Linked DNA regions of Caenorhabditis elegans. The protein of the gene in region 2 interacts with the protein of the main gene of each other region in a pairwise test. Each region holds a gene or a part of one and is shown on either strand. Other genes may lie near its edges.

Region 1 (6,826 bases), on a different chromosome or scaffold from region 2:
CCGCCAACACGATAAAGAACATGTATGTTTCGTTGATGAGCTCCGAAAAGTTTTCGCTGTCTGTCTGTTCAAAAACATGAAGAACATTGAGCACGTTATGTGAACCCAACAAAAACGTCTAGGATAGGCCGAGTGTAACCTGGAAGTGGAAGCCAGTGAATGATGTTGTGTAATTTACGATGGCAGAAAACAATGTTATTGATTTTTGTTCTTTTTTTTAAGCCAAAATATTGCTTTTTTGATCCATACATTTTATTTTCTTGCTTTCAAATGAAGTATAATCTGTGAAAATACTTAGGATTGCATGGTAATTCTGATTATCATTTGTTCTTTCTTCGATAATTTTTGTTCAAAACGTTTGAAAAATACTTATTGCCACAAAAAATTTGAATGAGTCTTAGAGCTTATTATCATCTTAAATCACGAAATCTTCAGCAAGGTCTGTAGTTTTTTAAATGAAAATTGCATTTTCTTGATAGTAGAAAAATGTTTGGGTAGTGTGGACAAGTGTGTAGACAATTCAATTTTTCAAATTGAGGGGCATTTACAGAATTACAAGAGTAGTATCGCCAATATGAAAAAAAAATTTTTGAGTCGGATAATATTCTAAATTGTGAACAAAATCAGTTTTTCCGCCACTTCTCGAAAATGGGAAGTTTCGGAAATGTAACACCTGTGGGAACTGATTAACAACGCGTTGGGAAATTGTATAGTGATTAAACATCGGTATTCATTTCTATAAATATTATTCAAAAAAAATTCATGTAATACATACTTAATTGAAAACCACATAAATTTTCAAATTCGATAGTTTCACCATATACAAAAAATTCAACATTTTAACTTTTTCGACGCTCTTTCTAAAAAAAAATTTGATCACAGTACTACTTCAATAATAATAATAATAATATTGAAAATAATGACTAACCTTTTTAGAACACTTAAATACATTGCATTTAAATGTGTTACTAGCTCCATCCCGTGCAATGTAGGAAAATATTTGAAGATCTTGAGAATCATGTGACACGTAGAATATCCTTCAAAATTTTTACAATAACAATTTTACAGAAATTTAACAATACCTGTATATTGGGTGAAACATGACAAGTAATTTAGATTCATCCCAAGAGAGACCTTTCTCTTTCTGTTTCTTCCGCTGAAGAACAACTTTGACACCATCGACGGATACGGTAATGTCGACCGGGCGTTTTTTGATACCACGAGCTTTGAATTCGTACTGAAAATGGTTTTATTCAATAATCAAGGAATTAGGAAAATAGATTTTCAAAAGCGTTTTCTTCAAACACTTCAATTTGGTTGTTTAAGAAAAAGTCAGTCAAAATCAACAAATATGACACGGTCAAATTCAAATTCACATCGATGATATGCTTGTTCAAATATTGATTGCTTATGTTTCCTTAATCAACAAAAAAAGTTTTAGATACGACTATAGGTTTTAGGTAAAAAAGTATCAGCTTTTTTGCAGTGTGGCAGATTATTCAATCAACGCCTAGCATTTACTGACTTTAATATTGATTGATTTAACAAACGAAAAAATTGTAGAGAAGAAAACACTAGCAAGTGTAGAATTTGTAAAAAATTCAATAAATTATGATCTTTCAAAGTATTACGATTCTATTTTCTACACTACTAATAATAATGTTGCAACCATGTAATTATACAAATTTTAGATTATACTACTAATTTTCAATTGCAAATTTCAGCTCATTTTGAATATATCTCTATTTGCGAGTTTTTATAAAAAAAACTCACTCGAACTCGTCGCATCGCCGCCACAATCTCGATTCTCGTCCCGGGTCTAGGAATTTCCATGCTTCCGACATACTGCAAAAACCCTTTTTGGATTAAATCCAGTAGTTTTGTTTTTGTTTTCTTTTTGAAAGAAAAAAAAAACTAAACTTCCCACTATGATTAAATTTGCAAACGCGTTAGGACCAAACTTGAAGACAATCTAATCTACACCCTCCGGGCTTTTCAGAATATTCAATGTTCGTTTAAACAAGATTAGCGTTGTACAAACATTCGAATACATCTTTTCACAAACCTTTGCTTCGAAATGAATACCATGCTGATAAGCGAGTTCGTTATGGAGTGGAATACGGCAGTCGTAGACATCGTCGGCGATGATATCGTACGGACCATGCTTTTTCCGCACAGGCATTATATCCTCACCTCTGTAAAATATGAAATAATGATGAAATGGTGGAAATGTTAGTAAAAAAGTATTAAAGAAAAACGGTTAGAGAAGTAAAACAAGATGTTAGATGGTTTCAGCAATAAAAAACATGGGTGTTTTGAAGAAAGTGAATTTTAAACAATAATCAAAAACAAAGTGGTATTAGACACTCGGCAAATCGCTGTTAGTACGGGAGGACGTATGTCGATTACAAATTCCTTGTTATAAACATAACATGTTTAAAAAAACTGAATGAATGTCAATTTTAATAAAGTACAGAGCCTCTGGTTTGTAAATGTTTTTTATTAATAATATTACTGGATTGCGTTTCCGTAATAATACATCTTTTTTGCACTTTCTACTTGACCGAAATGTTTTCGTGCAGATGAAAATAATGAAAATTAAAATATTTACATGATACTACGCAAGACAACATTTTATCAGAAAGAAAATTTGGACTTTAAAACTATTTTCACGCAGAAAAGGCCATGAGGTTTCAAAACCAATTTTTTGTTAGGTTAAGATAGGGCTGGTAATCCAGAGGACTGGCCTTTCCGAATGTACTGATTTTCGGACAATCGGGCGTTCGGTTTTGAACATTCGTGGATTTATGGGAGCGTATATCCCGACATTTTTTTGTGTTCCGCGTCTCATTGTGATAATGCGTGCGTTTCTATAGTAAGCAGCGGAACCCAGAAAATGTCAGGATGTAAGCTCCCCTAATTCCTGTGATAAAAAAAATTTCCACCTTATTTTGCCACCCATGGTGACTCCATGTGGGCGGACGTCCAGATGGCCAGCCCTAGGTGGAAAAATAACAAAAGTTGAAGTAGTGCCAGAATGTTATTTATGCTGAAAATCAGCAGAAAAAGAGATAACATTTTCAACAATTTTCCGAATGTATTGATATTTTAGTCCATGTTTTAGGTACACTATTAGAAATTCATTTTAAAAATTACTATGCTTTCAACTGTAAATTAACAAAGATTTTTTGTGCACTTTGAAGAAAATTGTTAGTTTCATATTCTGACTTTTCAGCCCCTAAACAACTTTCCTACTGATGCTACTCCGTTTCTAAATGGACAATAAACACTTGTTAAACATTTCTGAAAAAAAACGCTCACTCAAAACCGTATCAAACCTTCAACTGCATATCGAGTATATCAGCTACCATGAGCCAGTATACTACGAAGCAATTGTCCGATATCAGGACAATTTGGATATCGTATTGAAACTGGTGGTGACGTTGGAAAACGTTGGGTGAAGAGGTGAGGTTCGCTGAAAACTCAGTGATTAAGCTGCTAAAAATGACAAAAAGGGCACACTATGAAAAAAGAGCAAACGAGGAAAAATAATTGAGTGATGATGAGAAATGATGAGGAACAATGGGCCAAGTAGATGGGGGAGAGAGGAAATGAAAGAAGAAATGAATAACTCATGCGGCAACGCAATTTTAAACACTAAAACCAAATATTTTTGCTTCTGATCATTTTCCTGGAGGAAAAACGGATAAGGGAGTATTGAACAAAAGAGCAAATGCAGAGAAAAGTGTAGGTAGTGTAGCTAAAAGGACTTTTAAGGAAAGTGGACTGACCAAAAGTCCGTCCGCAAATTGAATATGAGAATGGAAACAGGAGGAAAACGGAAGCCGATGTTAAGAAGGAGGGAAAGAAGTTTAGGATGATGGGGGGGGGGGGGGGGGGGGGGACAGAAGAAATAGAAGAAGTTGCGAGCCGAACAAAACTGGAAATTGGTTGGTTGGGAGACCGATGAGCGAGGTTCCCTGGAGACGTTTTCAAATAGGAATATAAAGATTGAAGATGTGTTGAGAGAAAAAAATAAAATAAAAACGCAAAAAAAGAGGAGGGGCGCCTACAAAACGGCTACAAATATGATTGTCAGTGCGGGGGAAAGATATTTCTACTTTCATGGATTTGAAATGAATAAATGTAATGTTATATATATTATACAATACAAAACTTGTGTTACTGTATTTTTCAAGTAGTTCCATGCTTTCATATGAATTTTTAAAATTACCATTATTACTAACACAGCACGTGATGGCAAGCGGTCTCATTACGATTTGATTTACAAAAAAGGCGACGTCAGCACACCTTCAAAAATGCCAAAAAAATCTGTCGAGAAGTCTGCGTCTAGATCCCCGCACATTCCGTAGATCTACGTAGATCAAACCAAAATGGGACACTCTGACACCAAGTGACACAACTCTTATAAACTCGTTTCTCTGATTGATTAGTTGAAAAAAGCTGATAGTATTCACTACAAAAGCAATGATACAAGGAAAATTAGTGCAATATCAAACATTTCGGATTGGTACAAGTAGAATGGCATACCAAACCATTATCGCAATGCATCTAAAAATAATTCAAAAAAAAATTAATGTCAGTTGAATTTCCAACATTGTGACAAAAAATGTGGTGTTAATTATTTTACGTGGTTTCGTATACTGAAAAACTGTATTTATTTACATGTTGATGTCAATGTGAAACATGATAAAAACAAAAAAAAAGCTTCACTATTTAGGAAAACTATATGAATTAAAAAATTACACATAGTTTGCGATTGGGAAACAAATTTCAAAAAAAAGGAAACCATACTTTTTTTTAGATATTGGCAGTAGCATAATGCACTAGAGCAAATATACGAAGTTATATTCTAGAAATTTGAAAGAAACGCAACAAAAATCAAGATGAAAGCATGCAAGTTTTGCTCTTTATATATCGTCTCATCACCCGTTCTTCTGCGACATTGGAAGCAATTATCCACACTATCACTCAGTTCCTAATCGATTTGAAAATAGAAAAAAAAATCGGAAAATGGAGGACAAAACAGGGGCAAAAAGAGAAAAGCGGTCGGCGGGGAAAAGAAAACGAAGAAGCGGTTGCGTGTGTGCCGTACTCTCTCATCGTCTTGTCTTGCGCAATTAGTTGTGATTTTAGGAAGCATGCGTGTGCATGTATGGGTGCACTTGTAGCTGATTGACTTATGCGCATCTCCTTCTTTGATAGAATTGCCGAGTAGAAGAGTTTAGATTTGTTGGAGTGATGGAGAGGAGTCACCGCTCCTCCTCATCCTATTCCTCCACATCTTCTTTTTTATTGTGACTGACTTTGTCGGGAGCCTTGCTCCAAAAACTTACTCTATCTTACTCTATCTACCACATCTTCGTCTTCTTGCGTTGGCCTTTTTCCGCCAACATTTTTGATGTAATGTGTCTTCGGAAGGCGTCTGAATAGAAAACGAAGCAGAGTTGCATGTTTTTCGGCAGTTCTTGGATTAACTTTTGTGGATTGGAATGTTTGTCAGAATTAGATGTGGAACCATCAACTTCAAAAACATTTGGGCCAAGATCATGTTGTGTAATTTAAAAATAACAAAATTATACTTATACTGAAAGAGTTCCAGTTGTGATAGCCAAATTCAAAATAGTCTAGCCCTGCATTGTAAGTACATATAATACGATGAGGCCAGGATAGACCTTTAGTTTTCAGTTTTTGCAGCGTCAATGTTATATATCATATTTAAAAAAATGTTACAGTTTGACACCAGAATTTTAATTTTCAGAAAACGGTTAATTGTGCAAATACCTATTACAATCTAAATGAATCAAATATTGAGGGTATTTATATTTTATTAAACATTGAAGGTTAAGCACCAAAATCTGAGGCTTTTATTTTTTAGACCCAAAATTGCACAAAAATTATCGAATTTTGTAATGAGACGTATTGAAAATTCTGGAAAAAAAGCTCATTTTCAGCTAAAATTAATTTTTTTTCCCAACTTCTCGGCGTCGCAGCGTCTGGAACTCAATGTTAATTAAATTATCACTCTTTGATAAATATTGTGGTGTTTAATTAGGCGTTTATTATATGGGTTAAAAAAATTGTATTTTGTCGTGCTCACAATATAAAATGCTGCACAAATACATTTTAAACTTTTTTAAAATAAAGAAATACAATGACCGAGCTCCAAATTGATTCAACTATCGCAGTTTCAAGAATATTATTCAAAAAACCTGTTTTTCGAGAATTTCATATTTCAACCAGTTTCAGAAAAAAAAATCTGAGAACAACGAAATTTGGATGACAAGAAAAAAAAGAAGGAAAAAGCGCACAGAAGGAAACAGAGGAATAACAATCTAAACAAGAAGACGTCGTTGATTAGCTACTTGAAAAACGTTCAAGAGTCCATACGAAATTTCATTTCCAGAATGTACGGCATGTGACTCTCGAAAGATTGGCACCAAAAGACAGAAATTGTTAAAAAGAGGAAGGAAAATGAGCATTTTCAATTTTCACAAAGACAATAGTGTCAAGACTCGCGTTTCGTATGTGCAATTGACATTGTTCAGTACTAATATGGATGTTAACCAAAAAACATGGATCTGTGTTTTTTTGAAAATTATTTTAGGCTGAACGGATATTAGGAAGCTGCTACAATTTATTCGAAAAGCTGTAATTTTTAAGTTGATAGTTCAATTGAAAACGCCTCGTGTATAAAACTTGCACTGAAGGTGTCCTTTGGAGAAATTGAAATTTAGCCAACTACGATTTTTCTTGCAAGAAATGATTTTTCTGAAAATAATTTTCGAACTCATGTTATTAAACC
Region 2 (7,760 bases):
AAACATTGTAGAGGTGGAACGTGCGACATTGCTTTGGATTTCCTCAAAAGCTCATTTTTTCAAAATTTTGGCAATTTGCAAAAACTATATGAAAAATCTGAAATTTTTTTGGAGCGTTTTATTATGATATTCGGTTGTTTTGGATCATTATAAATGTATTCAGATAAAATACCCACTGGCGCTACTCCAAAAACTAAAAATTAAAAAAAAAAACCTGCCTAATAAAAAAAATACAGTTGCAATATTCAATCTTTATTAAATTTCGCTAATCTTAATTTTAATGTTTCTTTGGATTTTTTTGTCAAAAAAATATTGTTTCAAATTATATATTTCAATTATTCGGTTTGTGGAACTTTATTCATGCAACAACGCTCCAAATTTCTCAAAAAACTCAGCATTTTCAATTCTTTCAAGATTTTTAATTTAGTTCCGAAATTGACGAAATTTTGTTTCAACTTTTCAAATAATCTGGCAACGTTTTAGATTAGATTTTTTTATTTTTTTGAAAAATTTTCCCGCCTAAAACAATACCGAAAAATTTCGAAAAAAAAAACCACATTTTTCAAAATTGAAAATTGTAAATTAAAAAAAAAATACAAGATAAAATATCAATAATTGTACGATTTAAATTCTTAAATTTATTGTAAATTTTTAAATTTCAGAAAATAAAATTATTCAGCTTTTGCCACTCCTAATTTTGGAAATTTCCGTGTTTTGGAAAAATTGTTTTTTTTCTACGAAATCTTTTTATTGAATTTTGTTTTATTTACTCATATTCAAAATTTTTAGAAATTCAAACATGAAAAATTTCTCCAAATTTCTCAAAAAAAATTCCTACAATTTTTTGACAATTAGCTTTTTTTCCAAACCTTCACCATAACTATGACAGAATTCTTAAGGTTTATTTTTAAAAATTGATTTCTAGTTTTATTTTTAAATTTTTTATAAATATTTTTTCTTTCCATCCTAATTACATTTTTTTTTCTTACCTTTACAGCCATCTACCCCATATTTTCCAAATTTCCAAAACAAAAACACCATAAGCCACCTAAGAATCTAATCCCCTGCGAACTCCTGACAAAGTTCAAAGTTCTATGTGATTCACCTATTACCCTGTTTGCTTGCATAGAATTCCGGTTATTCTAGGCAGAAAGAGGAAGAGTTTCAGGCAGTTAAAATAAGTCGAAAAATACATAGACTCCTCTTTTCAATGTTTGTACACCAACTGTTTTTTGTTTCAATTTTTGTTTCTCACGAATTCCAGCCAAAAGTTTTTTTTCTTAAAATATTTTTTTTCTGTAGAAAAAAAAAAATATTAGGGAATGATCATGATTGCGCCCACGAAACCGCCCATAAAATTCCTGTGAAAAGAGAAGAAGAGAGGGTTGGGCACAACTATACCATCCATAAAACCACAGACTTTTTTTCGCGTCGGTTTTTTTCTTCTTTCCGCTCTTCCAATGTTTTATCGTTGTTTGCATGGCGTTCTGTGCTTCAAAGATGACAGTTTTTTTTGGGGTTGGAAGACTTTTTTGAATACAAAAATTCTTTGAAGTTAAAAACTTCAAAGTTCTCAAAATTTTAATTTTTTAGAATGGTCTAGAATCACATAAATCGAAGTTAATATTGGCTTTAAAATGGGAAAGATCGGCCACAAAACAATTAATTATAAAAAGGATGAAAAGGGGTCTTTTCATTAACTGTAAAAGGCTATTTTAAGATCATCTCTAGCAATAAAGAAAATATATGTTGATGGCCCAGTTTTCCCGTTTTTTTCTAGGCCAAGCCACAAATGACGGACAGTTTTGGGTTAGAAAGATTAAACTTCAATTTTCGTATAAAAAAAGTGCTCCAGAATAAAATTAGGCAAATTTCGGATTTGAAAAAAAAAATTCAAACCGAATGTGATGTCCTAGAACCCGACAAGGCCCACTTGAAAATATGACGTCACAAAAATATTCGTGGCCGAAAAAATAAGAAAACTCGGCTACGCTACAAACATTTTTTTTCTCGAATTGTATGTAGACGACACCTTATAGATTCAATCTGGAAAACTTTTTGAAAAATTTAATTGATGGCCGAGTTATCTGTTTTCTAGGCCACATCACAAATTTGTGCTTGATCTAAATCTGTGCTTTCAAATAGCAATTTAAAAAAAAAATCTGAAATATAAAACGATTAGGTTGAGCCGAAAGTCATGGCCTAGAACCCGAGAAAAATATACGTGGCCGCGAAAATGAGAAAACTCGGCCGCTAACACACATAGGGTAATTTCCTCGAACTCTAAATGATCTATTTAAGATCAAATTGCTAAAATATAAATAATGAGTTTTAGATTTTCTAGGCCACGCTGTGAACTCTAGGTTTTTGTATAATCTCCAACCATAACTTAAATATTGCCGGTCCCTCTCCCCTATAAATTATCAGCCACCAATTTCCTGTCTGCCACGTGGATTTCACACGAAATTTTTGATATCATCTTCCAATAGCAGATGTTGTTGCTTATCTCTTTTCCTCTTTGTTCATCGCTTATCCCTCGTTTTCGCTTTCCTTTTTTTGTAATCTCCCCCCCCCCCCTCCCATATCCTCTCTATTTTTCCTGCCATCAGTCGAATTTTGTGAGCCAAAGTGTAAAATGGGCTCCTGCCGGGATGAAGCGAGAGAGTCGTAAGGATGTGAAGAGACGCCGACGCGGTTCGCCCGGGGTTCCTGTGGCATGCAGCTCCTCGGGGTCCGTCGGAGCCCCCAAGACTCTAAACATACTAAACACCACACCGAGGCGCGCTCTCCAGACATTCTCTATCCATCCAGGTCGCACATCCTAATATGAGTTACCTCTCACCACTTCCTCATTATCCTAGTCAAAGGTATCGTTTTTTTTTCATTTCTTCATGTTTTTGTTGTGTTAAATTGTTTGCTCTGTGTCCTGACCTCCAACATATGTGTCTTTCAGCTTGGGTCGTGCTCGCTCCTTCAGCACTATTCCAGACTCGGCATCCGCTACTGATCTATGGGACCCCCGCCTCCGCCTCCACCACCCCCTCTACTCCCATCCGTAAGTTGAACTGAAATTGCAAAAGAAAATTGGAAAATGTTCTGAAATTTTTTTAGGCCAAAAGTTTGAAAAAAAATCAATGGCGTGGGAGAGAGGTTTAAAAATTATGTATGTTATCCATTACGGTAGCTCGATAAAACCCCCAAAAGCTCAGGGATTGTCAGAATTTCTTATTTCGATTTGATCTTCAAAAAGTGCGGGAGTTGAGACGCAGACATCTCATCTGATTTCGCAGATCTTGCTGACGTCACAATTTTTCTGAAAAAATTCCCGAATTTTTTGTAGATCACAATTTTTCCGAACAAAAAATTCCCGCATTTTTTGTAGATCACAATTTTTCCGAACAAAAAATCCCGCATTTTTTGTAGATCACAATTTTTCCGAACAAAAAATTCCCGCATTTTTTGTAGATCACAATTTTTCCGAACAAAAAATTCCCGCATTTTTGTAGATCAAACTGTAATGAGACATCCTGACATCACGTGGAAATAGACATTTCAAAATTTAAAATCTTGGCTTTTTGGAGGCAGATGGGTTTAATTATCGTTAATTTATTTCTGAACTGCCGGCTCTTAGAGTCGTTCTGAATTCTATTTCACTTCCCACGCTCTAGACAATACCCTTTCTATTAATTCAAAGCACATTTTGCATATGAAGGTAAACGATTTGCATACGGTAATTTATGTGCTCCTTCTAGCACCCCTGGGCATTTAATTATTCTCATTAATCACTTGAAAAACCATAAATTATTGCTAACCATAATCGTAGTGGCAAATTTTTTTTATCCAGCGGAAATGAGGGTTTTTTCGAAAAATAAAGAAAAAAATGACAGAATACATCCCCAATATACCATACATAACAGTAAAAAAAATTATAAAATTTTTGTAAATTTTTTATGATTTTTTTAAAATTTTGCAAAAATAATAAAAAGGGCCGAATGAAATTTAAATTCCCGCGCAACTGAGTGACGTCATTTTCGACATACCGTATATCTTCTATTAATATGGCCTCCCTATTAGACTTGCACTCCCTATTAGTATTGCCCCTCGGAGACCTTCCGAAAATTAGTATTGCACTCCCTATTAGTCTTGCACTCTCTAATAGTCTTGCGTTAACTTTTTTGTATTGCAAACCCGTCTCGCTAATTTCAGGATTTCAACAACATTTTTGCCTATTTTGCAACAGTTTTCACATCATTTCTACGAGATTGAAGTTTTTGAAATTATATGAAAATCAAATTTTCAGAATTTTTACATATGATTCGAGCTTTTTCAGGAAAAAACTAGTAAGCTCAAAGTCAGAAAATGTTCTGAAAATTAGTATTGCACTCCCTAATAGTCTTGCACTCCCTATTAGTATTGCAAGCGGGAAGACCATCGAAAAATAGTATTGCAGCTATATTAATAGAAGAAATACGGTATTTGTGTTTTCCCGCTATATTAGTCTCCATTTTGGCCAATTTCAAAGTTTAATCCAATTTCAGAGTTTTGGCAATTTTCTTTGCAATTATATAGTTTTCTTTACGGAAAAATTTCTGAAAAATTGGAAAATTAAATATGTTTCAAATTATAAAATAAAGAAAAAAAATAAAGAAAAACCCAATTAGTTTGGGCGTGAATGAAAAATTAAAATTTTTTTTAAATTTTAAACAGTTATAATCGGTATATTAGGACAGTATTCTGTCATTTAAAGCAAAAAATCTACCGACCTTTAATTAAAAAAATTGTTTTCCTCAAATTTGGCAGATTTGGTTAGTTTGAAAAATTTTACAACTTTGAGAGCCTATAACTCAGTTGTCGTTTGCTCTACTCAAAAATTGTCAACTGTCAAAATGTTTTTTAGTTCTTTTTCTACATTTTTTAGTTTGACAATTATTGGTATCTTGAAAAAGAACCAAGATATAGCGTTTCAAAGTAATGTAGTCGGGTGAAACTAAAATATGAAATGTGATATGATCTTATATAACTATTTACTTCCAAAAGTAAGAAATTAACTTCTAGGGAGAGATACTACCATCTCGCAAATGGAAGACAGAGGATGCACCACGACGTAACAACCATCCCGCACCTGCGCCGCCCAAGCCGTCCCGTCCCACAGTGGACGCTTCGGCACTACAGCACGCCGCAGCACGTCTGCGTAAGACCGGCTACAACGAACCGGTTCGAGGTGACGTCGAGAATCTATCCGATGGACGATTGGACCGACCGCATCAACAATTGCCTGACGGAGATCGGACGTATCGCGCGAACCTCCAACAATTGGCTCAGCCGAAAACCAGAGCAGAGGTGAGAGGGTTTTTAGAGAGGTTGCAGCCGACAACTCCCGGGCTGATGCGTCATTAAAATTCTGATAATTTTCAGATTCCTTCTCCGCCCACTTATTCCAACCAACCTCGTCCGCTCGGCGACTTTCATCGAGACCCCAATGCGTTAAGCCAATTCCAGGTACTACATTCCATCGGTCCTCATAAAAAAATCAAAAACTTTCCAGCAATCCCGAGAGGCTCTTCTATCAAGTACTTCCCCAACTTCAAACTATAGCCCAATCAATAAATTCTCATCATCCACTCTAACTCAATACGCAAACAAGTCCCCGTCGCCTCCATCATTTGGTAATAGTAATAGTGAGGCAACTTATGTGTCTCCATATTCTTCTAAACACTCATATCCTACAAACTTCCGAAGCTATCACAAGGACGACGATTATTTTAATAACACGGCAACTACGGCAACCACCACAACATCAAGCAATAGCTTAAACGAGAACAATAATTCGAATAAATATGGCAATAAGGAGACGGTTCTTCAGTGGTCGGAGCCCTACGATCCAAGGTAATTATTTTTTAGTTGTTGGAAAATTAACACTTTATGGTTAGCGCCCGACATTTTATGTATAGCGGCCGACACCTCATAGGTACCAGCCGACACCTCACAGGTATTTGGCCAAGAGGCTGACATTTAACGGGTATCTTTTGACAACTTGTGAGATGCGCTCGACACCTTACAGTTAGCGGCCGACACCTCGTGAGTTGCGGCTAGCATTGCATGTACAGCGACCGAATGGTTCTTAGGCCAATATCTGTGTGTTGGCCGACTGGGTTTTAGTCTACCTCGATTGAGTAATAGCCGACACTTCACTGGCATTGTTTGAAGCCTTATGAGAAGCAGCCGACATCTTGCGGGTAGCGGCTGATATTTTATAGATACAGACTGAATTCCATAGGATGTGCCAGAACCTAATAGGTAACACTACCTAATGGGTAGCAGCCGACAACTCACGGGATTTTTCAGCCAAATATCTTATTACACACTTTAACAGTGGCGACCGATGCCTTATTGACAGCAGCCGGCCCCTCACGGGATTTCAGCCACTGCTTTATATTTAGCGGCTGACAGGGGTGGAAGCCATCCTAATTCTTCGAATTTTCAGTAAAATCCGCCGCTCACAGTCCCCAATCCGCAACGCTCGAGAAATGATCCACGAGTACTCGACAACGAACTACGTCACAGAAGTCCAGCAACCACCTCCACCACCACCAGATCTTTATCAACGAATGACTCAAGCAAGAACTTTCCTCCAGAATTCCCTGGCAAAGCAGCTACGCGACGAGGGGCTCACCGAGTCACAAAAAGCCGCGAACCGTAATCAGACAGGTGCTCTGAGCGCGTCTTCTTCGATTCCCTTCGATGCGTCGCAAATTGTCAAGGTTAGTTGTCATCGTCGTAGTTTTGTGTTCTCATTGTTAGTTCCAAAAGAAGAAGCATCTAGAGTGGATAGACTCTTCAATCAAATCGAGATAAGTCCATGTCCATTCAATTCAGAAGGGGGGAAAGAAGTGGAGAGGATGGGGAGACAAAAACGGGAGGCCTTGATTGATGAGAGCGTTTATTTGTGTGCTCTGCTTCTAGTGAAAGAGATTTGTTTAGTTTAAGCGAATGATCAATGATTACTGAAAATTTAAGAACCTTTGAAACCTTAAAAAATGGATTTGAAGAATTCGATTATCTTTCAACTGTTGAAAACCCAAAATAGATTTCCACGGGCGGCCAGATAAAAAATACCAACTGGAAAAATGTTGAAACCCCTAAAGCCAGAAAAAGCGTCTAAAAATTATCGAAAATGGATCTCGCAAGACAGATTTGAAAATTGAAAATTTGAATTTTCAGCTGTGAATCCGAGTTATAAGCTTTCAATTTTGCCGCAGGTTTTTGGTTTCTGTGAGGTCACTGCTTTTTTGAATCCAAGGGAACTTGATTTACGAGCATATCCTATTGGTTCCACCGTTTTGCCGGATTGGGTGGAGCTTTTTGGGCTTTTTTTTTAGTTTTCAGGGAAAATACATATTCTGTTTTGATTTTGAGTCACTATAAAACTTTCAATAATAATTTCTTTAAAACTCAACATTATGAACTGGTAGCTAAAGTTGCCTGCTGTCTTGAAAACATCAAAATTAGAAACAAGGTGCATCGAGGAGCCTCAAAAACGGCGATTTTTGCCTTTCATTTTTAACTTTTTTTATTAGACAAGAAGCTGTTCGCCTACAAGGCCATCACATAGGCACGTAGACATGTAGCTACGTAGGTACGTAGGCACATAGGCACGTAGGCACGTAGGCACGTAGGCACGTAGGCACGTAGGCACGTAGGCACATAGGCACGTAGGCACGTAGGCACGTAGGCACGTAGGCACGTAGGCACGTAGGCAC

The links.
Region 1: the proteins of zyx-1 (region 2) and dyc-1 interact in a two-hybrid assay, tested with the Caenorhabditis elegans proteins (2 studies listed by BioGRID).

Annotation. Positions count from the first base shown.
Region 1 is NC_003284.9:14,046,184-14,053,009, reverse strand, and holds the start of dyc-1 (Dystrophin-like protein 1), read right to left. Parts: upstream 3,476-6,826; 5' UTR 3,339-3,475; intron 3,183-3,338; exon of another isoform or gene 3,162-3,182; intron 2,196-3,161; 5' UTR 2,183-2,195; coding exon 2,066-2,182; intron 1,846-2,065; coding exon 1,774-1,845; intron 1,238-1,773; coding exon 1,083-1,237; intron 1,038-1,082; coding exon 929-1,037; intron 1-928. UniProt on the Caenorhabditis elegans protein: Together with dys-1 and hlh-1, participates in a common muscular function.
Region 2 is NC_003280.10:13,054,142-13,061,901, forward strand, and holds the start of zyx-1 (Zyxin), read left to right. Parts: upstream 1-3,010; coding exon 3,011-3,055; intron 3,056-4,657; exon of another isoform or gene 4,658-4,678; intron 4,679-5,055; coding exon 5,056-5,340; intron 5,341-5,415; coding exon 5,416-5,499; intron 5,500-5,545; coding exon 5,546-5,886; intron 5,887-5,915; exon of another isoform or gene 5,916-6,364; intron 6,365-6,484; coding exon 6,485-6,761; intron 6,762-7,760. Other genes in the region: azyx-1 (Alternative N-terminal open reading frame of ZYX-1), read left to right, coding at 2,827-2,867, 2,954-3,055, 5,056-5,340, 5,416-5,488. UniProt on the Caenorhabditis elegans protein: Functions both as a mechanical stabilizer (via LIM domains) of focal adhesions, and as a sensor component for muscle cell damage (via N-terminus).